Rhinolophus ferrumequinum: one gene and its partner. The protein of the gene in region 1 purifies or fractionates together with the protein of each later gene. This does not show direct contact. Links are inferred from orthologs where the notes say so. Each region holds a gene or a part of one and is shown on either strand. Other genes may lie near its edges. The genes, in order: ABCA1 and NR1H2.

The links.
Region 2: the proteins of ABCA1 (region 1) and NR1H2 purify together in Homo sapiens (affinity purification with western blotting; 3 studies listed by BioGRID and IntAct, with this or other methods). This does not show direct contact. The link is inferred for Rhinolophus ferrumequinum from reciprocal best matches to the Homo sapiens genes ABCA1 and NR1H2.

Annotation. Positions count from the first base shown.
Region 1 is NC_046295.1:59,051,794-59,063,573, forward strand, and holds the start of ABCA1 (phospholipid-transporting ATPase ABCA1), read right to left. Parts: upstream 7,514-11,780; 5' UTR 7,495-7,513; intron 7,447-7,494; exon of another isoform or gene 7,316-7,446; intron 1-7,315. UniProt on the Homo sapiens protein: Catalyzes the translocation of specific phospholipids from the cytoplasmic to the extracellular/lumenal leaflet of membrane coupled to the hydrolysis of ATP.
Region 2 is NC_046298.1:45,212,408-45,224,187, reverse strand, and holds NR1H2 (oxysterols receptor LXR-beta), read right to left. Parts: upstream 5,442-11,780; 5' UTR 5,314-5,441; exon of another isoform or gene 5,298-5,313; intron 5,200-5,297; 5' UTR 5,069-5,199; intron 4,462-5,068; 5' UTR 4,442-4,461; coding exon 4,399-4,441; intron 4,319-4,398; coding exon 4,187-4,318; intron 3,898-4,186; coding exon 3,607-3,897; intron 3,526-3,606; coding exon 3,260-3,525; intron 3,078-3,259; coding exon 2,898-3,077; intron 2,311-2,897; coding exon 2,211-2,310; intron 1,420-2,210; coding exon 1,211-1,419; intron 916-1,210; coding exon 769-915; 3' UTR 334-768; downstream 1-333. UniProt on the Homo sapiens protein: Nuclear receptor that exhibits a ligand-dependent transcriptional activation activity. Binds preferentially to double-stranded oligonucleotide direct repeats having the consensus half-site sequence 5'-AGGTCA-3' and 4-nt spacing (DR-4).

The DNA of each region.
Region 1 (11,780 bases):
GGTCTTCTACACCTCTTTAACACAGGCTAAATTTCCCTTTTTTAACAAAGTGAGACAAGTGTCAGAATCAGGTCGTGAGTTTGGAAAGCAATTTTATAGACAGACTGTGTAAAAAAAATCATGCATTTTTATTTTAGTTATATTTTTAATTACTTTCCATTTGAGACAACTGATCTCAGTTTTCAATTTAGAAGACCAATATACAGTTGACTTTTAAAAATATATTGATGATTACAAAAATGTGAGTCAATTGAAGTTATTTGAGTGGCTTATATGAGGCCGACCTCAGGGTCAGTGAAGATTAAATGAGGTGGTGGAGGGAAGGCTTCGCCCACCCTGAGCTCTCATCTACCCATGGTCCATGGGTACAATTTCAGTCAGCGAGGAAGAGGAATAGAGGGTACAGTGCAAACAAAAGCAACCACAGACAATGGATATGAGTTTCCAGACAACAAGGAGCCAAAAAATAGCAAGAAGGGGTTCTAAAAGTGGAAGTCAAGAGAAAAGAGGAAAACCTGCCGAGGGAGATTCAGTTAACAAATAGTTATTGAGCCACACTATGTGCTAATCACCAGTGAGAAAACCAGTGTAGTTCCTTCAAGTATGCCCCTTATAATCTAGGACAAAGCTGTCACAAAAGACCATTCTCATTTCAGAGAGCCTTCAGTGTCAAGCTAAAGATCATTATGGTGGCAGATCCTTAAAGTCTTTTCATATTTGTTCAGCTCCTAGTAATGTACGTGATGTCTGAAAAGTATCTGCTGAACAGATGAATTGCGTTTTATGGTATTTATTACCATTAACACATTTAATTTATATATACATAATTTTTACATATGTATATATGTTTAATGTTCTAGCTTCTTCTCTCCCTCTACCAGTACCAGAGATCACACCTCACCAACCACCCCAGTGTAGATAAAACTGCCACCTCCATCCCAGGGCCCTGCCCCTGGGAGTGGAGAAGGGTCTACAGGTCAATCTAAACTCTGAGTCTGAGTCTTCACTTTCTCTCGGCTTTTCCAAGGAAAGCTGCTCCTTCCATCAGTGTTCCCTTTATGACAAACGTGGATCATCTAAATTCCAGCTCGAATCCATTTCAAACTGCCATACCCTTAGGGACTTGCTTCTTAAAGAAAACAAGCTTGGTTTGATTCTTGGCAAAAACAATGATTCCCAACCTGGCATCCTACAGGAATTTTGCAAGGCAAGTATAAATAAGGATGTGAAACCCAAACAACTTCTTAGCAGCGCCTTTCCTACTCCCATGCTGCCCCCATCCTAAAACCTCTCGCTCCTTTTCCTGCCTTCTTCTTCCTTGTAGTCCGAATCTATTATTATTTCTGAAACAGCAAATTCACAACAAAGCTTTAGAAACCTTTGTGTCTTTCCCACTTTCCCACTTACCCTCAATGAGAGTCTTTCAAGATATTTAGAAATACGCTCATAAGATTAGTCCAATTCTCTAGGATGGGCGTTGGCATTCCTTTCTTGGAGGATGAATGACTCTTTGGAGTCAGTTAGCTTTTTTTCGATCACATATTGGCTTAACAGGGTTGCAATATAAGAAGCACACCGTATACCCAAAATGGAATGAACATCAAAATGAATGTTTTATTTCAGAGCTATTCTCTCCAAATGGTGAGTCGGAGATGAGAACAGTGTATCCCTGTCCTTCTCTGCATCGTGTTTGCTCTATTGAAATGTATTGCAATGAACTAACTCCTCCTTCCTTGCATTTCAGATGAGAATTTCCTTCTGGTTCTGTGACTTAAGTCTTTGTCCACCTAATGCACATACTTAGGCAATTTCAACAACTTCCTTTCCTTCTTCCTCTCCTCCCATCATCTTCCTTTCCATCATTTCTCGCATCAGGAACGCTCTTGTGCATCCCCTGGGTGTTTCCCCTTTACCTCTCAAAATCCACAAGATCTGTTACACTAATGTCCCTCAAGACATACCTCCTGGAAGCTCCAATCAAAGGATCATCCTTGTCCCTAAACACAAACCTATAGAGGACTTTAAAAGTCAAGTACTTCAGCCTCTTTCATTTTATAAACCAAGAATCTAAATCTCAGAAAAACAGAATGACTTGTCCAAGGTCACATGTCTCCTTAGTGGGTTTCTGGAATTATATGCAAAATATAATTATGTGTAAACTTGTAATTATATGTAATTATATGTAAATTCTGGAGCGTACATGTCTATGTATATTTTTTCTGAAGGGATAATCCACAGCTTTCATCATATTCTCAAGGTAGTAAAAAAATCCTCTCCTAAATAACCACAGATTGGTTTTAGGTACATAAAATTCTTCCTAGGAAATGTCCCACACTATATACCAGTTATCCAGTTATCGTAAAACATCTTGACTTCAAGACTAACCAGAAAAAATGCTTTGACTTCCAAATACTTCTTGGAAGTCGGATTTAGCATAAAAAATGTTGCAGAGTTTTAAATAAACACACACACACACACACACACACACACACACAGAGAGAGAATGAATAAAATAGATCCTATGCATAAAAGGATTTTGGTTTTTAAAAACTATTTAAATTATAAATTACTGAATTATCTCATTCTTATTTAAAAAATAAATTAATGTGCAAATCAAAGTACTCTGAATGTGAAATGTCACCGACTATAGCATTTTTTCAAATTGCAGCTGCTTCAAAAAGAGAAATGAAACTGAATAGACTCAGAATTGTTTGTTCTCCAGAAAGTTAGCTGGTCAAGATAATTTAAGTACAGGCTAAAATTTCTCAATCATAAACCTAAACTTAAGTACAGTTATTTCTCATATAATTTTATTTCTAAAGCTTTTCTATGATTATTCCATCATTTTAGTTCAGCTTTTAGAATAGAGGAAACAAACAGTAGTTTCCCATTGTCTTTGACTTGCTCGAGTCAGCATTTATTGAACTCCTTGCATACCCCATATAAAGGGAGTTGAATTAAGGACTGGGGAGAGTGAATGGAAGATCTCCTCCTGGAGGAGGAGGTCTTTCCTTCCACTCAAAAGGAAGACAAATAAATGTTAACTATTTCCAAAAAAAACACAATTAAATACATGGCATGAATACTGTTGCAATCCAGTCTTATGGGAGTAAAAAAGAAGGGGATAATTAATTTTAACCCTGTGTTGGCAAGGAAGAGTTGAATCCACAAGTTTAGGAGAACGATGGCATTTCAATCAGGTCTTAAAATGGGTGTTCAAAATGTAAAAAGACAGAATTTCAAAGTTAATTTTTTTTTAGGATCCAAGTCTTCGTTCTTTGTTAAACGCTCTTTGCTTTAATATAGTTTATCATCTCAACAAAATGCAGCGTAACCAAAGGTTCTATCTGAAAGCAGTTTTATACACGAGATTTTCATTCTCTGGCTTCAAATATTTTTCATACGTACCTCTCTAACAATATCTATGCTGATTACCTATCCAGGGAACTATTTTTAGGTGAAAATAGACAAATGAAAAGGAAGAATAACTCCTTGCCTCGTGCTAGTATTTCAATTAGAAACCAAACTTGCGTGGATGCAAGCTCAGCTCCACTACTTACAAATCTATGATCACACTGCTCACAAACTCTATACCTCAGTTTCCCTGTCTATAAAAAGAAGATAATAACAGTCTGTACCTCATGTGGTCTTGTGAAAATGAACTGAATTATTACATGTAAAATGCTTAAAACAACATCCAGCATATAGTAAATCCATAATAAATGTAACTGTTTTACCAAGAAGAAATGTTTTCTAAGAGTTTATTTTTAATTTGCTACACCAATTTAATAAGAAAAAGTTTTCCATCCTATTTCACTTTTATAAAGCAGACTTTGAAATTGCTACTTATTTTCAGAGAAAAATGCCTAAAAAAGGCTAAATTTGCTTCCTAGACAGTAATGGCAATAACAGAGAAATAGCTCAAAAGGTCCAAAACATAGTTAGAGATAGAACAGGCAGGAATCGTATTGAATTATAGTCATTTTTTAAAAAATTCACCAAAGTTAGGACTGACAGACAGTTAAATAGCTAGCTCTCTTTCCTTTCTCTTTTGTTGCTTATATTTTTACTGCTAAATACTCTGTTATTCCATGTTCTTTGTATCACACAGGAAAACATTTTGAGATCATAGACCTACTCACAAATATTTGACTGAAGCAATAGTACTTTTTTCATTATAAATCAAGTAAAGAATTAGAGTTGAGTAAATCTTATTGTCTGTTCTTTCCATGGTGTTGCAATCCCTATGCAACCAATGTCCCAACAAGCAGAAGAGAATTTGGCTGGCCCACTCACAGCAATAAGGGAAATATGATACAGGCTGTTGATTCTGATAAGAATTTAGCAGATGCGTGTACCAAAACACAGTGTGAGCATCCTTGGAAAGTCCTCTGCTCCCAGCAACTGTAACTGTACCACCTCACGACTCAGTGTGGGAGTTCAAGAACTCTGGAGCTCACTGGCTAAGTTCAAATCTTAGCTCTGCCACTTGCAAGATGTATGGCCAGGGAGAAGTTAGTTAACCTCTCAGTTTCTTAATCTACAAAATAGGAATAATAAATGGGTTTGTTGCAAAGATTAAATTAGTATTTGAAAAACATTTGGAATAGTACTTGGCACATACTGCTATTTAATAGTCATTAAATAAACATTGTAATAACTTTGGCATTTATGATTATTTCCACATGCAGATACGAAGACAATCTCTGTTTTCAGTGTACATCCTCTGCCAGGAGAGTTAAATAAAACAAATTTTCAGAAAGATCTTTTAAAATCTGATGCTGGAGTAACTGACCACTAAGGAACATTATACTTGCATTATTTCTTTAGTACCCAGATAGTAAATAAAAATATATTTGGATTTAAGAGTATTTTAGAAATGCAAAAACCACATCTATTGGTATTTTCTAGATATCCAAAAGGTTCCTAATTAAAGAGTAAGGCAATGTCCATTTAATTATTTCAGGAGCTAAAAATTTAAATCACAAACATATTAACAATTGTGGTCACTACGAACATAGTATAAGCAACTTGTATTATGGAGGGGAAGATCCCTAAAACAAAAAAATTTAACTCAAAAAATATTCCAACTTCTCTATATATAAGTACTACAGAAGATAATAAAAAGCTGTGTTGCTGAGTTTCGTTTGGTTTCACTACTTTTTAATAATGTAAGCATTGAGACTTCCTAGAGCATTGGTTTAAACCAAGTCCCAATTACCGTTTTCCAGTCCTAGACTAATCATTGTCTCACATGAACTATCAATATGCCCAAGCCAAAATGTGTCCAGCATCCATCATAGGCCTCTATTTAGATATAAATCAAAATACTTGTAAGGGTTGAGATTTCAAATACTCATCTGGACAGGAGATGCACGTATCGTAGGTATCTCCTTCACAATCATATGTGATTCTGGAACACCAAGCTTGTCCTTGCAAAGGGGCTCGTCAATTACTCTGACTACAGTAGCAATTAATTCTTACCCTTACGTGGACCTTGGTCATCACGAAGTCTGGTCACGGTGATCCTACTGCATTTTCTCAAGTAGATACGAATTTGCTTTGTGTATCCAATGTATTCCGAACTCTATCATGAATTATTTTAATACTTTATAGAAGCATTTGGGAAACAGGCTGACAATGGGAACTTTGCACTTGAAAATTATTATACTATCTTAAGAGATTCTATTCTAGAACATTCTCCATGCTTTCCCACTTTCTTTGATTTGGGAGAAGTATCTCAAGAGAATGATATGAACTACAGAAAGCCTCCATTATTGTTGTGGTAGGTATGAGGAAAAGGGGCTGAAATAAAAGGGGAGATGAGAAATTAAGTACTTGCTGATTTTTTTGTCACCAAGGAAGTTTTTTTAAATATCAAAGTTGTCCTCTATTATATGAATGTATATACCACCCACTCACTTTGTGAGATGTCACTGAAAAGCCTTGGGTTTTAAAAGCTGATGGTATCAATGATGCCAAAGGGTCAATTATTTTAAGCGCCAGAAGCTTTTTCTTTCTCTTCTAGTCTCTCCTCCCCCCGCCCCGCTTTTTTTATCTTGTTTATTTCCTTTCTTCTAATAAGTGCTGAAAAAGAGGCACCTACAACACAACTCTGGCACTGGCCCACGCCCCAAGAACCTTCGGATTTAGCAACGGTCTGGGAGTCGAGATACATTCTAACAAAAAAAAACAGACCAGCTTTCGCCTAATTCCCCAGGTTTCCTTCTTCAAGAGATCTTGGTCTGAACTCGCGAGCGACAACGCCTTACAGAGCCCGGCCCCACGCCAGCCACAGGGCCGATTCCCAGGCCACCCGGCCAGGAGGCGCTGCGGGCCAGTCCCCCGGGGCCACGGGCAGCCGGCGCCCAGCCCCTCCCCACCCCCACTGTGGAGGCCAGCCCAGCCGCGAAGCTGAGTTCTGCACCGCCCGCCGGGGTTACTCTCGGTCATTCCGCTGCACCATCTCGCCCCAGCTTCTTTCTTCATCCGTGCCCTCCCTGAGGCTGCTCCAAGAGACAAGCACCAAAGGGCAGGAAGATGGGGGACGAGAGAATAGGCACCTCGGCTCTAGGATTCCGCAGGCTCTCCTTCTAAGTCTTCTGTTTTTCAAAGGAACAAAACTCGTCCCCCCGCCCCCACCCCACTGAGCCAGGTACACCAGCTCGGGTGAGCGCACGGAGACCATCCGCAGGACTTCCAAGTCAAACAAAGCCCCTGAGGCCTCAAGTGAGCAATAGCTACGGACCCCGTTTGGGACACCTCCCAGTCGAGTTCTTGGGGAACAAGAACGCCTACTCCAGTCCGGGGACGCACGGGGCCGATCACCAGGTCAGAGCCCAACTTAGAGCAGCTTCCCAAGAACGGAATAGGGACTAAGTGCTGGCATTCATCCCTATGGGCGCCGGCAGACCTGCAGCCAGAGGGGTTTCTAGCCAGCTCAGAAGCTTCCAAACAAAGGGAAGCACTCTGTGTGGGACCTGCCACGCTGCCCACTCCGGCAGCAGTGCCCCCAGCACGACCAGGAGCCCCCCCATCCCACTGCGCCCTAGGTATTGCGCCCGAGTCTCCACGCCCAGAGATGCTCCCTGAGCTCCACTGCAGGGCGAGTCCGGGACGCAGCAGCGCCGGGCCTTTGGGTGGCCGAAGCTCGTCCTAGGACGTTCTCCCTGCATTTACAGCACCCGCACCATTTGCGTTGCCAGAGACGGGGATGTGAGGGTTCGGACTAAACTCCCCGCAACCTAGCGCTTCCCAAAGACTCCTCGGCCCCAAAACAAAACAATAACGCCTAAGTCCCTGGAGAGCCTCTTACCTGTTTTCCACTTTTGTGTTTGCGTCTCTTTTCCCCACCCCTTGAAAAACCCTTCCAGAGAAGGGGGGAAAAATCCCAAAATAAAACCGGAAAAAAAGAAAGAAAAAAAAAAGGAGCAAAGCGCCCGGAGAAATTGGCTCTAGCGGCGCTGGTCCTGCGGCGCCTCCTGCCCTGCCCACCTGCGCCCGGGGAGAGAAGTGTGGACTCGGCTTGTCCCGGCCCCAGTCACTCTCCCTCGGAATTACCGGGCTTTTGCCGCGACTAGTTCCTTTTATAGATTCGGCTGTGCTGAGCGCAGGGGTTACTATCGGTCAAAGCCTGTTCGCTTTGCCTCCTTCCCCGCCCCCTTTCCCGGCCTCTGTTTTTGTAGTTCAGTCACTCAGCAGAAAGCACGTGGAGCCGCGCCCCGCCCCTTAAATGGGCGACGTCCCGCCGCTCCCCGCGGGACTGCGGGCGATGGGTGGAAAGCCGGGGGTGCTGCCGGCATCGCCACGTCCGGGGTCTGCGCCTCCTGTCCCCGCCCAGCCCTGGCCTCGTAGGATAAGAAGGCAACGCGGGGCTTGGGGCTGCGCGGGACACTGTCTCTCTCATCCACGTTCCGGGCAGCCAGCAGCATTAGTGGAAATCGCTTCCTCTCAACCCGTGCTGTTCAGCAACGTTTTTTCTTTGTTAGTTCACTCAGTCGTTGGGATTGGACGGAGAGAGAAAGTGAGGCTGAAAACCTGCCTGACGCCAACCATTTAGTCTTTCTTTCCTTTCAAAAGCCTAAGGTATGGGAGAAGGCGGACAGTCCTCTGGATAATTGGCTGTTTTTGTTTTCCTCCACAAACCCTGACTTTGGTATTCAATAGGCAAGCTATTGCCTTTGGGATTCCCAGCCTGGGAGGGCCAATGAAAAGCGTCTTGCTCCTCTTCTTAAACTGGGGTGAGGGGGAAGGAAGGACAAATAACGGAACCATGTGGACCAGCCCCCTTTTTATTTTCATTGCATTGGTCAGCATTCCAGTGATATATACACAGGGCTTGTATTTTGGCTTCTATAGATTAGCAAAGTGCAGCTAGAGAATCACAATCAAGTAAAATTATGTAACCATCCAGATAGATCTCCAATTTCTTCCTCTAACTTTGGCTTTGCCAATCAGAAGCAAGGCTGCTCATAACATTCAAGGGACAGCGGAAAGATTTCAAATGGGGGCCCACATACTTAAGTCTAAATATTGAAGTCATAAATCAAGCCAACAGACTGTAAAATAAATGTCTCCTACCTTGACAAAGATACCTTGGAAGCAACCCAGAAGGGCAAGTTCATGTTCAGACTCCTCATAGTTTGACCTTAGTTTTGGTGGAACGGGACAGGCTGCCCCCAGACCCTTTCTCTTCCCATCTTCAGCTCCATTATATTCCAGAAGAACCTCCACTGTGTGCACGTGGACCCCCAGCTGCACAAGCTCTCTTCATGGGAACCGTGAAGACCACAACTGGAACCCAGGTGCAAAAGCCACTGGTTGTGTCAACACTCCGGACAGACTCAGTGAGGAAGCCCATGCAGAGCCTGCAAAGTACACTTAGGAGCCTTAGGACAAGGAACTCTGGGGTCCCAGCACTCTGGTGTCCTGGCCCTGTGGACTGCTCATCCTTAGGAAGAGATAGAGTTGGAGGAGAGCCAGAGGCAAGCCTTCTGAAGCTCAGGTGCCAGGAGAGAGGTCCCTCTTGCCTGGGTCAAAGAACAAAGGGGTCAAATTTGAGTGAACCACATGATCCATAACTTTCTGCCTCCATGTTTTCATCTGGAAAATGGAGAAAATATATATTCTCTCCTTGCCTCACAGGAGTTATCTGAAAGTGAATTTTGTTTATTTTAAACTCCTTGAAAGAATGGCACTATAAACAAAGAGGGTGTTATTTGCTGACTATTAATGTCATTTTCAGATATCAGCCGTGGCCTATAAAGATTTTCCCATGGCAAACTTTTAAAACTTCAGGTCTAGCAAACAGTTAAAAGTAATATCTCTGGACCTCTAGAGATAAAGGAAAGCTCCTGGAGGAGGTGTTACCATTCCAAGTGTGATTTGGGGGAGTGATTAGGTCTCCCTGACTCTCTATTCCCTGCACCCCCACCCACCCACCTATCACAGTGCTTAAAATCCCACCACCAAAATTATTGTTTTTGGAATTTTAAAGGCTATGGTTCCCAAGAGCACCCCTACTAAACTAATCCCTTAGATTATTTTATTGGGAAAGGAGCGACAAGAAGTCTTCACAAATAACAAAAAGATAGGATGCTGGAGAAAGGAGTTGAGCCCAAGAAGATGAAAGCCCCAGAGAGAGGATAGCCATTGATTCTAAATACATAAATCAGTGGCCCCAAAGCCAAGCTTGATCATTTTTAGCTAAGAAAAACCAGTGGTGTCAAGAACCTGCTCACCCCTACAATGAATACATGTATATACTACAATGTTTGAAATCTGTTTATAGTCTCATTGATTTCTACCAATAAAAGCCCAAGAGGCTATGTGATTTGGCCAGGTGATGTAGGAACACAAGTCTGCTGACACCAAGCCCATACTTTGCCAGGGTGACAAAAATACTGAATTCTAAAAGTTAGAGCCTAAGAGAACGTGTCCCTTGAGGAAGTTTACAAGTGTGAATTCTCTCCCTTGAATGTCGTAGGTTGATTTTTTTTTCCTGAGTATGCTTTAGTGAGCTTTTCCCCAAGTTTTGCAATTCCTGCTAGTAACACCAACACCAAAACTCCAAATCTGCACCCTATGTGGCCCTCTCCAAATATGTAGGAAGGCCCTTCTTTGTTACTGTTGCTCTGGAGAATCTGATTCTGTAAATGTAGCCTGGGGAGCCTAAAGTTCTAGTCTGAAATGACCCTGGCATCTTCTAATCAGGGAATCACCCTTCAGGCAGCTGTGACCTTGGAGACCCTGCTAGAGATCGTGGAGCTACAGAGAAGCTCAATTTTATCATTCCATTGAGACTTTCAAATTATGGATTATCTAAAAGGCTTTCTTGGCGGTTGCTTTGATATATAGTATCTGTTAACTGGTCTACATAAATGTACATATACACATTTCTTAAAATATAAATGATTCCCATCACATACGTATTTTTGGTTGGTATGTATTGTGTTTTGTTCCTGAAAACTCTGAAAAAATAGAGTATTACACAAAGTCAATGAAGAATAAAAAGAAAATATTCTAAGAATAAGTTTTCAAGCTGAATTTGTTATAATTAAAAAGACCTAAAAGCTGGATTCTTTTTTGAGAATTCCACGGAAAATGAGAGGTGCCTCAAAAAAGAAAAAAAAAAGGTAATCCTTTCATATACGGAGGGAAAAAAAGGACCTGCAGTTCATATCTGAGTCAGTTTAATTCCAATACATGGTTAGACACACCAACAAATCGTCAAGCAATTGATGTTTAAATTTTTTTTTAAATGAGGAATCGCCATTATTTGTGGAGTAAACTATGTATTGCACATTGCACAGGCTCTCTGTACCTACGAATTCAGTTTAATTAGACCAATGCAATTCCCTTCTGTATTAATGTGACTGCTATTGACATTTAAGCAAGATTCAAAACCATTACTGTTCTTGGATTTGAGTAAGATCTGTTCTTTGTCACTGGGATCAACAAGTTAGCCTGGCTTATAGACAGATATGTGCCCCTGAATTACTAGTTGATCGATGAGTTATAATTCTTTCTTAAAAGCCATCCTTCCCACCTGCCTCCCTTCACACTCTCCTTCCCGTAAGAGCCAAACTGCTGGAAAGATTTCATCTCCCCTCCCTCCCTTTCATTCCCTCACCAGCCCATTACAGGCAAACTCTTGCCCCCGCCACTCTGTTCTGTCCAAATTCATTAGTGACCTCCTTAAAAAGAGATAGGCATGTGAGCTTTCTTTTTTATCAGTATATAAAACAAGACCATTAATTGGTACCGCTGATGACCTCCTTTTAGTCCTTAGGCTACCTGATCTCTGGTATCTGACACTATTGACCACACCTTCCTTCCTGAAACCAGTTCTTCTCTTGTATTGCGTGAATCCAGTTCTCTTATGCCTCTTCTGCCTCTTTCACGGCTCTTTTTCTGACTCCTCTTTCCTTATATATATTTCCCTTTATACTGGTTTTTCTCTGTCTATTTCTACATGCTCCACTCCCGTGGCTTCACTTAAACCCTGTGTCGCCAGCTCTTATCTCCTCCCTGAGCTCCTGGACTGTGTTCCCTAATTACGTAGAATACCCAGCAGGACCAGTGGGGTGCTGGAGTCAGCTCACTCCGGCTCAGAAGAGCTGACTGTGTATATCTCTTCCCACCTCTGCAGTAAGTGACTTCCATGGGGCTAGTTTAAAATCAGCCAATGGTAGGAATATTTACACCATTGGAAATCTGATACAAGTGGGGCTTTCTTTTATTTTTTTGGAAAGCCAGTTAACATTTACCAGCACACTGAA
Region 2 (11,780 bases), on another chromosome or scaffold:
ATACATCTTTGTTGGATAAATGACATCTGCGTCCCCAGAACGGTCGTAAGTGCTCAGGCTACAAGTGACTGCAGCAAATATCTGTTGACTGAGTGAAAGCCCCGGTCCCCTCATCCTCTTCTTGCCTTTCATGAGCAGGATCTAGCTCACCTGGTACAGGGAGGTGACCCAAGGCCGTCAGGGGCCTCCCCTGAACCCCCACAGCACCCAGTCATACCACCCTGAGCCCTCTCACCAGCCAGCACCAGGTCCAGGGGGCCAGTTTCAGTGACGACCCTAGCAGCCCATCCCGTTCATCTCGGACTCAGTCTGGCTCAGGGCAGGTTTCTATTCATATTTTATTTTCCTGTTTTTGTCTTGTTTTTTCTTAAGTTTTTATTAAATAAAAAGAGCAGAGGGAGAGGGGGGCCTGTGGTCTCTCGGCTGTGGGGTAGTGCCATGGGCCCTCCCCTCCCTCTGTTCAAGGTGCACTGCGCAGTGGGCTTGAGGTGTAAGCTGGGCAGGGAGGGCAGCTGGGAGTGCTTGGCGAGGTCAAAGGTTGGGACCTGTGACCCATCCACACCTCCCAGGAAGACTTGGTGGGCAAGAAGCCTCCTAGACCCTGACTGGGGCTTATCCTGAGGGCGAAGGGCTGGCGGGGCCAGGGCCTGTGCTCTAAGCCAGAAGGTGGGACCCCAGGTCTGGCCCCTTCCCACCCAGGAGAAAGAAGGGGTGACCATGTCCGTTCATTGGAGGGTGCAGGGCTGTGGGGCAGAATGGCCAGGCCCCTCACTCATGGACGTCCCAGATCTCAGACAGCAGAGGTGGCAGCTTCTTGTCCTGGAGCCGCAGGGCAAAGACCTGCTCCGAGTGCACAGAGCTCAGCGTGCGCAGGCTCACGAGCTTCATCAGCATGCGAGGGAAGCGCAGCTGGTCCTGCAGGGGACAGGAGGGAGGTGGGCGTTGGCCGGGCCCTGCCCTGTGAGGCTCTGGTCAGCCCTCTCCGGGGTGAGCCAGGAGAGCCAGTGGGGGGAGCGGCTGGCCAGAGCATGGGGACCTGCACCCAGCTCCTTTTGAAGGGCCAGGTGCCTGAAGACAGGCTCTGCTGAGAGGACATCCGTCAGACCTGAGTGCTGCCAGGGAGCAGGGGTCGGGGTTGGACAGAGTCAGGTTCAGACAAAAGCAAGACGCCAGCCCCAGGCTGACCCCAGGAGGGGCTGGGCTCGGGTACCTGCGGCCTCTTGATGCGCGTGTAGGAGAGCAGTGCCTCCACGTAGGGCTGCTGCAGGGCCTCCACACGGCTCGGCTCCTGCACGTTGGGACGGTCGGCAGAGAAGATGTTGATGGCAATGAGGAGGGCGTACTCGGCGTCGTCCAGGCCCAGCCGCCGCATGGCCCGCGAGAACTCAAAGATGGGATTGATGAACTCCACCTGCAAGCCTGGGGGTGGGCGGCCTGCCTGATAAACTCGCCAGCTCAAAACCGGCCCCCACCCGGTCCCTGACAATGCCCGCTATCAGCGGAGTGAGGGAAACGGCAGCCATTATAGTGTTCTCACTTCTGTTCACCTGTGTTCCCACTGCCTGTCGGAGTGCCTGACATGAAGTAGGTGTGCCATAAATCTTGCCTGAGTGAGGGGATGAGTAATGACAGCAAACATTTATTCAACCTTATCTCTGTGCTCTAGCTGCCTGGGTCTCCTTGCGTTCGGTAACACTGTCCCGTTCTTCACAACCTCAGGGCCTTTGCACATGCAGATCCCCAGTGGCCAATGCTACTCCCCACCTCCCTTTTCCTAGGTGATGCCTCTCACCCCTCAGGCCGCAGAAGCCCACCACCCAGGTCACATCCCCAGGCAAGTGCTTTTGGAGGGCAGAGATTAGAGCTGCCCCGTACAGTTGGGTAGGCTGTCTACTGCACAATGGACTGAGATCCAGCCTCCCTTGGGTGAGATCAGGTTGTGGGAGGAGAGAGTGTCTCTTCTTAATTCCTACCAGGATGTCCTACGTGCTAGCAGAGACCCCTGTCTCATCCTGCACTGTGTCCCACCATGCAGTCGGTGCTCAATAAACGTGCTCTTATTTCACTGCAAAACTCACTCAACTCTCACCCCACTTTGGAGACGATGAAACAGAAGCTCAGACAGGACTGAGACAACCCAATGTTTCCCAGGCAGCCGGGCCCGTCAGGGTGCCAGTCCTGCCTCCACCCCCGAGCCTGCCGGGCCATACCCGCTCGGTGAAAGTCGTCCTTGCTGTAGGTAAAGTCCTTCAGGAAAGTGATGCACTCTGTCTCGTGGTTGTAGCGTCTGGCCGTCTCCAGCAACATGATCTGAAGGCAGCAGGGAGAGGGGTGGGCAGAAGCAGGGGCGCAGGGAATCCCTGCCCCCCATTCTCTCAGCACGCCAGCCTACAGTCTGCAGGTTGGACAGCACACTCTCTCTCTCCTCCAGCTTCAGCACACACAGCTCCCTCCACTTGGGACACTCTCCCCAGGTGGTTACGAGGCACAGGGGCAGTATTTTTGCCTGTTTTGTTCTCTGTCATGTGCCCAGCACTTGGAGTATAGCCTGGCACACACTAGTCACTCAAACCTTATTTATTACCAATGTTTTAGTTTAAATGTCAACTCCTCTAAAGAGCCTTTTTGTCACGTTCTCTAAACTGTGTCTCTTCAGCCCAATTCTCAGTTATTCTCAGCCTCAGCCCGTTTCTTTTCTCTCTCTGGCCCTTTGGAGACTCTGATTATCTTGTTTAGTATTTTGACAGGCCCCCGGAGAATATCATCCCCATAAGGGCAAGGTCTGGAGAGGCCTTGCTCATCACTGTGCTACCAGCATCCATCCTCAGGCTCATTCCTGGGGTTCCTTGAGGGCAGAAAGGAAGAGGCTTGCTGAGGGTGGGTGGCCTGGCCATTACCTCAATGGTAGATGCCTTCAGGAGCGCAATCTGGTCCTCACGGCCCAGCTGTAGGAAGCCGGGCACCTGCTTGGCGAAGTCCACAATCTCCTGGACCGAGATGATGGCCAGCTCCGTGAAGTGGGCGAAACGCTGTTGGCGGGCATCGCGGGACTGGGGATCTGCGCCCAGGGGCCAAGGCTAGGACATAGGGGTCCAGGATCACTCTCAGGACTCCTCCCATAAGCCCAAGGCCATGGGGGCACAGTGAGGCAAAGCCTGCACCCCAAAAGACCCTCCTCTCCAAGCCCCTGCCCTCTGGAGCCCCATTCCCTCCCCATCCCAGGCCCATAACCCCCTCACGGCCGAGGAAGGGGCAGTACCGTGACTTTGGGCTGATCAGAGAAGGAGCGTTTGTTGCACTGTAGCTGGGCTGCCACCAACTGCTGGATCATTAGTTCCTGAGCAGCTGTTAACTGGACACCCTCGCCTTCCCCTGAGCCCTGGCCACCCCCGTCAGACCCTCCAGGGGAGGCCCCAGGCCCAGAGGCTGAGCTGCTGCTGACCCCCGGCCCTACGGGTTGCTGCTGCTGCTGTTGCTGTTGCTTCCGAATCTTCTTCTTCCGGATCTGTTCTTCAGAGAGGACGCCTGTTGGGGAGACACAGGCCTCAGCAGAGGCCCGAGAGCTGGGCAAGGCCAGGGTGGAACTGCTCCCTCCCTGACACTCACACTGCTCCCTCATCCCGGCCTCCTTGCACTTGCGCAGCCGGCACTGCTGGCACTTGCGTCGCATGAAGGCGTCCATCTGGCAGGTTCCACCACCACGGCAGGTGTAGCGCCCGGCCCCACCTCGGACCACACTGCGTCGGAAGAAGCCCTTGCAGCCTTCGCAGCTGAGCACATTGTAGTGGAAGCCAGACGCCTTGTCCCCGCACACCCGGCACAGCTCGTGGCCCAGCATCTTTGGAGCCGGGCCCTTCTTTCGCTTGCGCTCTGGCTCCTCTGCTGGGTCTGGGATGACTGGAGTGGGTGGAAAAAAGCCATGAGACAGAGCCACGGAAAGAAACAGCAGCCAGAGAACAGGCCCGTGAGAGATCAGAGACAAGGAGCCAGAGTACAGAGGGTGACCCAGGGAGATAGCAATTCAGAGGGAAAGATGTGTATGTCAGTGAACTCCAAAGAGGAACAGGAGAAAAGAAGTTAACAAGAAACCGGGGCCGCCGGTCCTCATTTCTGATCTTTCTCCCTTCCTGGATCCTCCCCCAGCCCCGCATACCCACTCCCAGCCCATCTCTGGACCCCGTCTCACCCACGCTGCAGGCTGAGCCGGCCCCATCAGTGCCTGGGACATCAGGATCTGGACCCCCAGGCCACGGCTCAGGACGCTCCTCCTTTACAACGGGTTTAGAAGAGGGGGCGCTGGGCTGAGGGGGGACATTTCCTGGGAGAGGGAGTCACAGTGAGTTTCTCCTGACAAGTGTGTGATGGTGCGGTGGACTGAGCTGGGAAGGGCTCACTCACCTGGCAAGGGGGTATCCTGGGAACTTGTGGTGGGGGTGGACATGGTGGGGGTCACGGAGCAGCCTGCAAAATACAATGGGTCTGAGAGTCTGTGGGGCTAGGGAAGTTCAGGTGAGGTCAGCCACAGGTCTTGAAGGGGTCACCTGTTTCTTCCATCTCTCTCAGGCTCCTTCCTTACTGCATATAGACCTCACCCCAAACCCCTGCCAGTCTACAAAGGCTTCCAATTCTAAAAGGGTCCCCCCCCAACTTCTGATCCAAAACAACCTTTTGCATGACCTCAAACCCCGCCCCTCCTTTAAGTTGTGTCTGATCCAGATACCTTCCACAGGCTCTTTCAAGGTACTGCCCCTTCTGCTTCAGTCTGGCTCCACCCTTACTTCCTCCTTTCCACTGTTTCATCCCACCTACTCTTACTACATCCCACCTCTACGCGAAAGCAAACCTATTATAACTCATTTTGACCCCACCTCCTACTATTATGCTCCGCCCCCATCTTCTCCACCTAGGCTCCGACCAATCCCTTCCACGTTCCACTCTGACTCCTCCCACAATGCGCTTCCCCATCACTTTGCTCTGCTCCATCAGCACCTCTCCCCTCCAGGTCCCGCCCCATCTCCTCCCATTATGCCCCGCCTCCACCTCCTCCCACCATGCTCCGCCCCCACACCTCGCTCCAGGTCCCGCCCCTCTCCGAACACCAGTGGGGGGCGGGGCTCATGGCTGCGCGCGAGGGTCTCGTGGGCAGTCTCTCGCGGGGTCTCCTCCCGTTTCCCTGGAAACAGTCGGGGGAGACGCGAGCTATGGAGGGGAGGGAGAAGAAGGAGAGAAGGGGCTCAGCGGAGCAGCGCGGGGAACTCCGAGAGGCTCCGGGCCGGGCTCCTCCCGCGTCTCCTCACACTCGGGTGCACCTGCCTCCGTCCCCTTGCTCTGCTTCTCCTCCTTCTCCTCTGTATCCCCTGGCACGCTGCCGCCGCTCGGGTCCCCTCAAAAGTAACTTCGCCACTTCTTCCGGCAACCCCACTGTGCGTCACTTCCTGAAAGGGGCGGAGATTCAGGGGTGACAGACTTCCGGTCCGCCTAGGACTAACCTAGTCGGCTGCCCCGCACGGAAGTCGTATACCCGCCGGAAGTTTATCATTGGGTGTAGCTCCCTTGGGGGCCTGCAGAAGAATTCCGGACTCATTCGCCCTATCGTGGCCAGATCCAAACTTTCCCTCCTGGCACTATGTGTTTTTATGGGCTCCCAGCAAGATTTATTTGGCATAAGTCTCCCCAGCTATAGTTCCTTTTCGCATTGGGCTGATTGAAAGCACGTTTGTCCTTTTTTGATTGTTAGGAGATTTCTGATTTTGGAGGTGCTCTACTTGTTAGTTTTAAATAAGTTAAATTGCAAACCTAGACCCAGAATAAAAATATTTTAAAAATAACTTGGTAATAGGAAGAATTTCTTTTTAAAGCGTAGCCTTACCAAAAAGATGCAACTAATAGCTTTTAAAAAATACTTTTTAAAAAATGTGTTTAAGTATTTTTTTCCAGGACCCATGAGCTCCAAGTCTTGTAGTTGTTTCAATCTGGTTGTGGAGGACGCAGCTCACAGTGGCCCATGTGGGGATTGAACCGGCAACCTTGTTAAGAGCACTGTGCTCTAACCAAGTGAGCTAACCAGCCACCCCAAGTAAGAGCTTTTAAAGAAAACTCAGAATACTTATATGGGTAGAAGATGGAAATTGTTCCAAAGTCTTGATGATGATAATCAGATTATAGCGAGCATATACACATTGTTTTAAAATGGGAATACAATATATGATCCATGCTTTTTGTAGCTTGTTTTGTCCATTCAGGCATGGCCTTGAAGCTGTGGAATTTCCAGCTGAGGGTGTTACCAATAAAAACGAGTGGTTAACGTGGGCATGGGGGGGATGGCTGAACCAGGGGCTCTGCTACTTTCTCGCTGTGTGATGTTGAGCCAAGCTATTTACCCTCCCCATGCCTCAGTTTCTTCATCTGTAAATTGGGAACAACAATTCATTGCATTGTCATTATAATTAAATGAAGTAAAAACTATGAACTGGGCCAGGCTCAAACAAGGAACCCAACATGTGGAAGCTATGTTTATTCCTGCAGATGTTCAAGTTGTTTTTAACTTTGTTAGAACAGTGCAAAAGGCTGAAATAGACTGAAGATGAATTGCAACAGTTTGGGGGCAAGTCATGTCACTCTCAGCCTCAATTACCTACCTGTAAAATGGGGGAAAATATTTGAATTTCTTATCAAAGGTGCGAAGATTCAGGAAGAGCAGTACCTGGCATATCTAAGCATCCAGTCAGTTTTGTTATCTGAACCTAATTGCAGACCACTGTTCTCATTTATAACTCACCTAATAACCCTATTTTTTAGTAACAGCTTTACTGACATAAAATTCACATACCCATACAATTCACCCATTTTCAATGTACAATTCAATAGGTTTTAGTATATTCATGGAATTGTTGCAACCAACACCACAATTTATAACACTTTTGTCACCACCCCAAAAAAGAAGCCCCATGCCCACTAACAGTCACCCTCACTTATCCCATCATCTGAGTCCTAGGCAACCATTAATCTACTTTCTGTCTGTATGGGTTTGCCTATTCTGGACATTTCCTATAAATGGAATCTTAGACTATATGTCCTTCAGTGTCTGGCTTCTTTCACTTAGCATGATGTTTTCAAGGTTCATCTACATTGTAGGATGTATTAGTACTTCATTTCTGTTGTGGCTGAATGCTATTCTATTGTGTGGATAGACCATATTTTATTAATTCATCAGTTGATGGACATTTGGGTTATTTCTATTCTTGCCTAAAGTGTTGCTATGAACATTCAAACACGAGTTTTTGTGTAGTTATCTGTTTCCATTTCTCTTGGGTATATACCTAGGAGTTGAATTGCTGGGTCATATGGTCACTCCATGTTTAACTTTTTGAGGAATGGCCAGACTGCACACATCATTTTACATTCTCACCAGCAATATGCAAGGATTTCAACTTCTCTACATCCTTACCAACACTTGTTATTATCTGCATTTTTAAAAAATTTATTGGGGTGACAATTGTTAGTAAAATTACATAGATTTCAGGTGTACAATTTTGTATTACATCATCTATAAATCCCATAGTGTGTTCACCACCCAGAGTCAGTTCTCCTTCCATCACCATATATTTGATCCCCCTTACCCTCATCTCCCACCCCCCAATCCCCTTACCCTCTGGTAACCACTAAACTATTGTCTGTGTCTATGAGTTTTTATTTCTAATTTGTTTGTCTTGTCCTTTTGTTGTTTTTGGTTTATATATCACATATCAGTGAAATCATATGGTTCTCTGCTTTTTCTGTCTGACTTATTTCACTGCATTTTTTATTATAGCTATTCTAGTGGGTGCAAAGCGATATTTCATTGTGGTTTTAATTTGCATTCTGATACCCAATTCTATTTCTTTTAATCATAAATAATTTGTAACATGTAATTCTGCTTTTACTATTCTGAAGTGAAATACAGAGATGATACAGCTGAACTATGACCCCAACAACAAAATAGCATCTTACTTCACCAACTGCAATACAAAAGATGAAAAATAGAAGCTAACTTGTAATAAAATCATATGTGCTTCAACATAGGTACATGAAAGACACAATATGGCAGCTAGCTCTTACTTCAAAATATAGAATTACTGTGAATTTGAAAGCTACAGTGCAGTCTGACACAGGACTGTTGTATGAACTCATATGCCTTAGACAGCATGGGTGATGTGATGTTTTCCAAAATTGTGGCAAAGTCTTAATATAAGTTATCAGTAAGATTGGGCAGGAATAATTTAGGCATATTTAAAAAGCAACAAGGAAGTTAGGGTGGCTAGAGTGGAGAGGGGTCAGGGGAGAGTGCTAGATAAGATCATAGAGGGAGCACGGTTAGATAATGAGGTCTTGTGGGCCACACTTGTCCAACACCGGCTAAGCATTCACAAAAAACGGTCCCTTTCCCTTGGTGACACAAATGACTACATTTCCCAGCATCCCTTGCAGCTACATGCCATTCTGGCCAATGGAAGGAGAGCAAAAGCAATAGATCACCGCGAGGGAAAGCAAGGCATCTGGGCTGATTCCAAGGTGTTTGGAACCTCAAGACCGGGGTTCAACTTCCCACTGAGTACACCAGGGCTGTTCCTTCCCCCAACCTCACACCTCAGTTTCCCCCTTCTATAAAATGTGGACAATAATTCCTCTTTTATAAGGTTGCTAGGCAATTAAATAAAATGGTGGACTGAAAAATCTAGTAATCTTTATCCAGTCGTGAGATTGTGCTGAATGAATTTGGAGACCCAAAAAGCAGTCAGGCGTGAGCCTTAGGTTGAGGGCCTTTTAGTCTGATGGTGGAAGTGGACCTGGTCACAAACCACTTTGTGACAAAATAGTGACGATTGGGTCCCATTTGCTGATTGTATTTAGAAGACATCTCCCAGCCTCCTTGGGCAGGTGGCAGTCAGGCAGGAAGCATTTACTTGGCTTCTCTTCCCATGGAGTCAGTATTCTGGTCAGTGGGAACCTCAGGGGCAAAAGCAGGGAGGCTTGAAATGTGTTCCAGGATTTCAGCTCAAGAAACTGGGGAGGTAAAGTTTAAAAGTGAAATATTAACAGGAAAAATTGCTACCCTGGAGAAGGTGCTTAAAAAGTACTTGTTGGATGTCAGGAAATTAAGTTGAACTAAGAGACTGGTTCTTCATGGTTACAAGAAAGCTCACCAAATATTATTGCCAATGGAAAAACGTTGTGCGTAGCGTCAACCATTTTCATAGCGTCTATACTAATTTTTTAAGATTTTCAGGAAGTGTATATTGAAATTTCTGTGAAAAAACAAATGTAACTATTATCAGAATTCATGTAAAACAGGCTGATCAGAAAATATTTTCTCCATACTAAATAGCGGATAATCACAAACCTTTACATTTACATCTGTTAGGACCATGGTTCATAAAGTTTGAATAAGTCATAAACTAGGACTCCGAAAAAGAAACTCATATGGAGAGTCGGGAAAGAACAGATATTGACTGGGAAACTAGGCCCACACCACCACCGTGTGGCCATTTTGGAATTTGCAGGCTGGGTCTGGATGATGCAGAATCCGGTGCGGAGATTCTGAGGAGTCAAGACTGAGGATTCGAACTGTTGAGACAGAGGAGGGGGAGTTGTAGTGAGAGTTACTGTAGAGAAACTGACTCTCCATCTGCTGTGTCAGGAAAATCCCCCAGAGCAATGGGTGCTCACGGTGGGTTATTAAAAGTATTTATTATTTGCTAGATGCCAGGCACTGTCCTAGGTGCTGGAGAGATAGTGGCAAATGAAACACACGAAGACGCCTGCCCTCGAGGAGATTACATTCTAATGGGGAAAGGTAATAATTGCCGGTATACACAGTATCACTGATTCCAACATGCGCGTGGCTTACAACTGATGACATCTTATAGTTAATGAAATGTTAAAAAGTGTTGAGTCTATGAAAAAAATAGATCAGGGTAAAGGAGATTGGAAATTCTGGGGGGAAATAGTTGTCATGTTTTCGATAGGGTGGTCACGGTAGACTTCTCTAAGAAGGTGATATTTAAGCAAAGATTTGAAGGAAGAGAGGGAGAAAGTAAGGTTTTCTGGAGGGAAAACACTCAGGCAGAACAGCCCGTGCAAAGACCCTGAGGCAGGAGCAAGTCTGGAGTGTTTCAGGAACTGCAAGGAGGACAATGTGTCCAGATTGGAGTGAGCAAGGTGGATAGGGAAAAAATGAAGTCAGAGAGGGAATGATGCCAAATCACATGAGCCTTTCAATTCTGTAATGCCATTGGTACCTCTGATTCTTTGATCTACCCATTTTTCTCAATTTCCTTCACCTCCTGTCACGTCCTCTCTTCCTTCTTTAGAAGCATAGATTCTATGGTCAACCATGATAATCGCGTCCTTGCACACATAATGTTAACTCCCTTGCTCTTTCTCCCTCAATCATACTTTCCTGGCAAAACCCCAACCCTGGTTAAAATGAACTCAGCCTTCTCTGTGCCTGCCTGCTCTCACCCAGCAGAGGTTGTGAGTGGACACACTTCAGATGTGTGAGTGCAAAATTTGAGTGGACACTCAGAACCAATCCACAGTTTTCTTCTTCAGTCTAAGAAATCATTTTCTCACTTTCTCTCTCTAAACCTCCTCCAAACCCCTCTTCATTCTCATTTCTTCTTTTGCTGAAAAAAATAAAAGCAATTAGAAAGACACTTCTCTATGCTTACCCCAGGGATACGACTAGCCCACCTGCAGAGGGATACATCCACTGCTGCCCCTCCCATGTTTGGACAATCTGAAGGAGGCCAACCCCTCCACTTACTTCTCTCCCTACTCAAAACTTCCCTCTTGCAGTACTTCCTTCTCTTTCTTGCATCATTATTTGCACAACCTGTGACCCTTTGTTCCCTTAGGATTCCCCTTTACTGAATGCCCTTTACAGTTCCTCACGGTGCTGCTGAGGATGCTTCCTGAAACTTGTGGGTTTTAGACCTGTCCCTCTGCCTGGGCCCTCCCCCCTTGTAACTCCATCCTTGAAGATCCCTTTCCTCCTGCATCCCCCAAGGGACTTTCTTGTTACAGCATCTTAAAAGAAACTGAAGTTCAAGAGTTGGGGCTCCAACCATCTGGAAAGCAGATCCTCCAGCCTTAATGAAGCCTTTGGATATCGGCAGCCTCAGCTGACATCGATCTGCAGCCCCACGAGCCACAAGTGCAGGGCCACGCTGCTTTCAAGTTTCTAACACAGAGAGACCACAAAAAATAACAAGTGATTATTTCTGTGATAAGCCACTCAGTTTTGGGGTGATTTGTTACTAGTACTAGCTGACTAGTACACCCTCCCAAGACTGCTTATCTCTAGGTCTTTCCAATCCTTGTAAATGAGAATAGCATTTACATAGTTGTAATAATGTAAACACTTTTTTTTCTGGCAACTATCTCTATATTTATTTTTTAAGTTTTTTGGTGGTAAAACTTACCTAAATTGCGAGATCTTAAATGTACAGCTCAGTGATTTTTTACTGATATATCCACCCAAATAACCACCACTCAGATTGAGGTACAGAAGTTCTTCAGTGCTCGTGAAGACTCCCTGGTGTCCCCTTCTAGTTAATACCCTACCCAAAGGATGACCACAATTCCAACTTCTGTAACTATAGGTTTGCTTTGCTTGTTCTTGAACTTAGTATGAATGGAATCATACAGTGTTTTAGTCTGTTTGGGCTGCTATAAGAAAATATGACAGGCTGGGCAGCTTATAAATAATAGAAGTTTACTTCTCACGGTTTCAGGAGCTT